2 linked regions of the Drosophila melanogaster genome follow. Changing the gene in region 2 together with the main gene of any one other region gives a genetic interaction. Each region holds a gene or a part of one and is shown on either strand. Other genes may lie near its edges.

Evidence for each region. A genetic interaction does not mean that the proteins touch.
Region 1: of Arp2 (region 2) and Abp1, changing one suppresses a phenotype caused by changing the other (phenotypic suppression), as found in Drosophila melanogaster (one study listed by BioGRID).

Annotation. Positions count from the first base shown.
Region 1 is NT_037436.4:13,484,680-13,488,437, reverse strand, and holds the start of Abp1 (actin binding protein 1), read left to right. Parts: upstream 1-2,157; 5' UTR 2,158-2,580; coding exon 2,581-2,835; intron 2,836-2,897; coding exon 2,898-3,349; intron 3,350-3,410; coding exon 3,411-3,587; intron 3,588-3,649; coding exon 3,650-3,758.
Region 2 is NC_004354.4:16,551,884-16,555,641, forward strand, and holds the start of Arp2 (Actin-related protein 2), read right to left. Parts: upstream 2,069-3,758; 5' UTR 1,509-2,068; coding exon 1,461-1,508; intron 568-1,460; coding exon 457-567; intron 1-456. UniProt on the Drosophila melanogaster protein: Functions as ATP-binding component of the Arp2/3 complex which is involved in regulation of actin polymerization and together with an activating nucleation-promoting factor (NPF) mediates the formation of branched actin networks.

The DNA of each region.
Region 1 (3,758 bases), on a different chromosome or scaffold from region 2:
TGACTGGAGCACGCAGAAGGGTCTGCGACTGGATACACTGAGAGGAGTTAGAGCCCAATAGCAAATCTGAATTCAAAGATTAAATGTAATATGGCAAAATGTGATAACAAACAGCACCTCTGATTGGTAGCATACGAAGTATGTGAATAATAATCAGATTACATTTGGGAATTCATTAACTAGGCATGAAATCGTTTGCAAAACGTTTTGTTACATTTTGTTTCTTTATATAATGTGACTTTGATAGTCTAGAATATAATGATGTTTTTATGTAAGCAAAAATCTTGACATCTATTAAGACTTATCAGTTTAGCAGACTTGTAGAGTTTTCCAAGTTCATTCACATTAAATCCATTCAGAAATTATTTTAAATTTGTAAAGAGCTACTACTAATTTGAATCACTGCTTTACATTCCCATGAATGTTTTAGACGCAAGATGTTCATATTACTGGGCATTTCTTTCTGTGTCTGACACATTGTTGAAATACTTTCCGAGTCTTCTTGGCTCAAAGGTGAAAGCCATAAAAGAGCTGTGTATAACCCCCACCCCCACTGCCCCGTTTGGGTTGAGTACATCAGGGCATGTTGTTGGCCAAGTTGAAATCATAAAAATTGTCGACTCTTTTTAAACGGAATTGGTTAATGGCTCCAGTTGGTGTTTTTTTGTTGGTCTGTAAGTCTGGGTCGGATCGGTTTGTTCACTTACCGCTGGGATTGTTTTGCACCATGGTCGCCGCTCTAGAGAGTACATCCAGCGCCGTTTCCATGATGATCTCAACGCTTCTACGTGGGATTGGACGTGGATTTGGAGTTGGACTTGGACTTGGTTTCGCTGCTCCTGCACCGACTCGATCTGCACCGCATGAGTTTCACACTGAAAATGCAAAGAAATTGACCATGAACAGCCGCACCACACACACTTAAGCCGCACACACATCTCTCTCGTATGTGTGCCTTACAATATATACACCGAGATATCCAAGTGAAAAACTGGATATATCGCCCGAGCCTGGCATTGGCATATATGTAAATGGAACAAAACCAAAACCAAAGCCAAAACCAAACCAAAGCGAACAAAGACTGACTGCCTGACTGGCTGACTTGAAACAAGTAAGACGAAGGCGAAATCCTGCTGCCAAACAGTTGCCATCTGATCGGAAAGCTGTGGAAGTGGATGCTGATGAGGGGACATGCACGGTGGCGGGGCGGTGAGGGGCCACGATGCACTTGGGACTGGTTTTTTTCGGAGGCCCCAAGACCAAGAGTTCGGGGGCTGCTCCGTTGAATATTTCGGCAATGACCAAAGTACAGCAGCCAGAGCCATATTGTTGCTAGCCAGTCAGCCAACCATACAGCCAGCCAGCATCCGACGTCTAGTTTCCACATTAATATACGTAAATATCAGGCCACAACAGTGGAGCCACTTTACCTTTCGCCAGGTGTGCGCCTTCAAATCCTCGCTGGAATCCTGCTCCTCAGCTGTACGGCGATTTATCCTCGCTAATTTTCACCGACTTTTCACGATTTGCGCTGGGAAAAGCGGGGGTTCGATGATTTTTGGTATAATTGCAATAATAGTTCAGTTCGCGTTAGAGCTGGAAGATACGTCGATGTAACATCGATGGCCAAAGTCATCAGTCTGTATTCACATCGATATTTGCTCAGCCTTACCAACACTAATATTGTTCAGCGGTGACTTAAGCCCACATATAACATTAGCGTTGACTCGAACCATTTTTAGAAAACTTAATGTACAAACAATGTAAACATACCTAACAACCTAAAACATATTATTTGTCAATAGTATTTGCAAAGTATATTATAAGCAAATATAAAGGTTATGATATGAATAAACACCATATACCAGTTTTTTCCATTGGATAGAGATACAAAAAAGTTGAATAAAATATAAAAACGAAAAATGTTCGTATGTGTGATTATTAAAAAAGAAGATAATGCTTATATATATAGTTGAAACTTTACGACTAACACCTATAAGAAAAACGATAAAGTAAATCAAAGCCTATTAGACGAGGTACACGTTACTAGATACGTTCTAAAACCTCTGTTATTTAATTTCAATTTTACAAGTAAAAACCATCGATAGCGGCACAGTGGCAACATTGAAAGTATCGATTAGACATCGCCTGTTGTCCCAGCTCTAGTTTGTTGTTGCAAAAAAAGTGTGTGGGTCGCCGCCAGCGATCGAATATTTTAAAATTCCAATCAAATTGGTTAATTGGGGAGTTGCAATTGCTTGAGCGTTAAGTTAAACCTATTTCTGCACGCATAACTCGAAGGATTAAGGTGGAAAAGTGGAATTTGGAAAGCCGCTGGAAATTCGCACATACTGGAAAATCAATCACCCACTATCCCATTGTTCTGCTTGTGTTTGTGTACGTCTGTGTGCCTTTGTGAGGCGGCTGCACTTAATTAAAATTTAAGACAAGACAACCCAAGCAAATTTGGAGTCTTCGCGAGGCGTTGGCTTTCACTTGACGAAGAGGGCACCCCGATAAGGCGACCCAGTGAAAGCTGGCCAAGATCTCGCTGCTCAAGGTCGTTGTCAGTCTGGAATTATGGCCGTCAGCTTCGAGAAGAATCGGGCGCAAATAGTGGCCGCCTGGAAGGATGTGCTGGACGATAAGAGCGACACGAACTGGTCCCTCTTTGGCTACGAGGGTCAGACCAACGAGCTGAAGGTGGTGGCCACCGGCGATGGCGGCGTGGATGAGCTAAACGAAGACCTAAATAGCGGCAAGATTATGTACGCCTTCGTCCGAATCGAAGACCCCAAAACGGGCCTCAACAAGTACTTGCTCATCAACTGGCAGGTGAGTCCGACGGCGCCCTTATCTAATCGAGCTACGCATAATCTGACTGTGCTCCCATTCAGGGCGAGGGCGCACCTGTTCTACGCAAGGGTACCTGCGCCAACCACATACGTGATGTGAGTAATTTGCTGTCCGGCGCTCACCTTACCATCAATGCCCGGAACGAGGACGATATTGACTTGGATCGGCTTCTCAAGAAGCTGAGCACCGTGAGCTCAGCCTACAGCTTTAAGGAACCTCGAGGCGCCATGGAGGAGCAGAAGGCGCCGGTGGGAACCAACTATACTCGGGTCATTCCCACCAAGGAGTTAAACGCCAGCGTTATGCAGGACTTCTGGAAAAAGGAGGAGGCCGAGGAGAAATTGCGACAGGAGGCAGAGAAGGAATCCAAGCGGCTTGAGCTTCAAAAGTTGGAGCAGGAGCAACGTAGTCGCGAGGAGAAGGAGCACAAGGAGCGGGAGAAGTTGGTCATAAGCACCACCAAGCTCCAGCCGGCCCACGTACCCATCAAAACGTAAACAAAAACATCGGAATTTGACCTTCTCGGTAGTAAAAATTCTTTTTTTATCAAACAGGTCACCGCAACCTTTGAGCCCTGAGAAAACTGCACCAGGATTTGCCAACAATCTGACCGATGCGGAGCGCATGCGTCAGGCGAGGAACCAGGAGGCCCGCGAATTGATTGGCTCTCGTGTGGGTGCTGCCAAGGCCATGTTTACAAAGCACACGAGCGAGGGACAACTTCAGTCTAAGTGCGTCCTTGCCCCTCTCCTATTTTGTTGTATCAGAAATAAACTGCTCTTTTGATTCATAGACTAAATACGCAACCGCCGGCCAAACCAGCTCGCAACTCGATTGCCCAGCGCATCAACGTTTTCAACCAAAACCAGCCTCAAGATGCACCTGTGCCTTCACCACCACGC
Region 2 (3,758 bases):
TAATATGAGGGCCCACACACCGAGACCAATGCAACTCAAGCAAAAATGCAATATTGGGATAAGTGACCCCCAGAAGTGATGAAATCAAGATGGTAAATGAAACGATATGCGAATGGGGTAGATCGAAAACAAATTATATAGAAGTAAGTAGATATGCGACACTAATAGACAGAATAGAAAATAGAGCAATTCCACTCCAAAATCAGATGGGTTAGGGGTGAAAAAATATGGTGGGTAATTTGGTGGATAGTGAACTTCTATGCGCTAAATGTATTTCTTGCCGTTTAACTAGTCATGGAGTAGTTACATCGAAAAAAAAAATGATATAATATATGGATATTCGTGTATTTGATGGCCTGTGCACAATTGAATTTGTGTAGTGTATATGGTTGTACTATCTCATCATATTGTTAATTAATTTTAGATACTTTAATTGGTAAGTACGATGGATCATACCTTGACTTCGATATCGCCGATTTTGTTGACCGCCCGAATCATGGGTCGTCCCACCATCGAGGGAAAAATGTGGGTGGGGAAATTGCTGCCGGCATATCCGCACTTAACGAACTGAAAAATAAATGGAGATGTCATAAATACATATATTTATATTATGGTGTATGTGGAAACACATTAAAATAATATGACAGCCGACATATGTACATATATTATTATTTGAGTTAAGCCCTAACACGTAATATGATAATTTAAAATGCTTTTGTATCAACAGGTACTTAAAAATTGCACATAATAATAATAAATAATTATTTTTAATCATTTTGTTTAAGACCAGCTATATCATTTTTCCCGGTGCAGCATTTCCTTGCGTTTTTACTGCTGTGACTTATCGAATTCGGACCGTTATCACAAAACAAAAATTTTTGAATTAGTTTTGATTATTTGGTTTAGGACCAGCTAAATCATTTTTCTCGGTGCAGCATTTGCTTGCGCTTTTACTGTTGTGGTTTATCGGACGCTTATCGAAATCGGACCGTTATCACAATACAAAAATTCTGGGCCTGCGATAAGAACTGATTGTCGGAAATTTTATGGAAGTGTTGGTGTGTGCCAGTGTCGCTCTTTCGACAAATATGTAGGTGTGGGAGATACTGAGTAACGCTGGAATCGTGAGTAATCCACTGATTAGTCAAGCGGAGAGCAAGAAGAAGAGTGGGGAAGCGGAATATAAAGGAGAGGAAGAGGCAATCGCGTAATTGCAACTGCTGCAACTGCTTGACTAACCGCGACGTCAACGCCCGCTGGCCAGCAAGCAGTGAAATAAGCAGCAGCAGCAGAAGCGCTGCTTAGTCCACAAGAAGAAGAAAACGAAAGAAGCGCAGCCAACAACACTCGAAATGTGTGTCACACACCAGTCGTTGGTGATGGTGTGGGTGTGTGCGCTCTGTTTTCACCGCTTGTGGGTGATGTGGGCGGTGCGGGTGGTGACTTTCCCGTTATCTTACCCCAGTGCCGTTATCACAGACGATAACATTTCGACCCTTGCTGTCCATGCTTGAAGGACTCAAAACCGGATCTCTGGAAAACCACTGCTTCTGCTACTCCCGTTGCTTCTGCCTCTGCTGTGGCAACTGCCTTTCCACTTCCACTGATGACGCGACCAGGTTGCCTTTTTGGGTGTTGGTTGTGATTCGGTTTGAAATCACAGCTCGCAGCGCCTCTGCTCGATAAAACCAAACAAAATATTGCACATCAATCGCCTTTCCTGTTGACTTCCTGGGCCGTTTGTTGAGCACTACTGTTAATTGATTCCTTTTCGGCTTTTTTTGTATTTGGACCGCCGGAGAGCGATTGTACTTAATCATACACTTTCCTCTTCCACTCGCACACTCTCACAACACGCGGGCGGGAACCTTGCTCTCTTCGCCACTCTATCGCTTACGTTTATCGCCGCTTCGTTTGGCGGTTATTGGGAATTGAACTCTTAATTTAGACTCGCAATTAAATTTAGGCCGAAACAGTTTGCCGCTATCGACTATTTATACTTATAATTTAGTTATACTGCTGTACAAAAACTCCCTCGTTACTCCCCAGAGTTGAATAAAAATAGATGCATATTCGATACTATCGGCGTTGGACTGAAGCGTACAAAACACCGAAAATAAATACCAGAACCGTTTAGATACTAGATCCAATTATATTTTTTTATTATTTTACAAATTTGTTAATTAAGTTTACTAGTCTGTGTGCCACTTTTAACAATTTAAAAAAGATTAAAAAATACAAGTTTATTAGTAATATATGTTACTTGCACAGGATTTACACAAAACAATTTCAATTCAATTAAGACTTTATTAATTAAATTATTGGATTAAAGATTTGGCAATTTAACAACTAATCACATCTATTTGAAAAACCAATTCGGCAATTGCTGAAATTTCAAAATACTCACATTGATTTCTGGTATTTTTCGTTTGCGCTCTTGCCTCTCGTTCACTCTCATACTTGGAAAAATATTCTTGAATTAAGACTTAAAACAGGTTCAAAATTTGGCGCCATCATTGAATACATGCATGTATTTAAAGAATTGTAATTTAAGCAATTAAGAAGAAAAATGATAACTTGACAATACTGCTCCCAAGGATAAAAAGTTAAGTGATCGAACGCCATAAAATGGAAAGTTTGTTGCTGATTTATTTTATTCCGTTTATATAGTATGTATATGTATGTATAATTTAATAATATAATAAACGTTACTCATTTGTTATCTTTATAATTGCTTTAAGAGGCGAAATGTCTTATATATGTATGTATATACCATGCAGCCGTCTCGTTCCCGCATTTTTTGATTCTGCTTTTGTCTGGGTATTATGTGTTATATTGAACGTTTTAATGCTTTTTAAATAGTTCCCATAAGTATGTTGGCATGGTCTTGACGTACATATTATCAAAATCTACTCATCTCCTCCTCAGCCGTTCTATTCAATTATTTACTTTTACTATGTGCCAGGAAGTTTTGCCTATGCCTCATGCAATAGTTATGTACTTTCTTTATCGAGGGAACTAAGCAAATGTATTGTTAGTCATACATAGTGTAGAATTATTAATACTTCTTAGCTTTATTATTTACCATGGCTCTTGATACACTCGGAATGCAAATCGCCCTAAGAGAATCCAAAATTTACAATTAATTTATTTCAGAAAATTATCTGAATATTGCCTACGTTTAATGGCTTAAAATGTATAGTTCTTTGATAATTAAACTATATTAAAAAAAAAAAATTAAAACTTAATTGTTGACCTATGCGTATTTTGGTATTAACAATTGAAATAAATATTTGTTGTTTTTCAAAAATTATACCTGAAATGTTGTCCATCAATAGAAACATTTGTTTATAGCCTAACAATATGGAATTTAGTTTTCAATTTCATTATTTTAAATCCGTAAAAACCCATACTTGTTGAAAATATTTGCGGCGATTTTCGAACATAAATGCCGATTGATTTTCTGAGTGTATACAATCATTCTATGGAATTGGTGTTCTTGGCGTTCAATACTCGAGACTATTGCAATTAAATGTGATTTGGGGGAACTCCCATTTCACTCGACTAACTAACTAAGTATGCATTTGCGGTGTAACAACATTAACAATTTTAACCACATATAGAACAGAAACTCTGAAACTTAAACGGCCCAACAGCTTTCATCAACTTTCAATAATTATATAGTTGTGGTGGAGGATTAACAAAAAAAAAAAACGCTATATATATATCTATATAAATATGGTGTATCTCTCAATTAG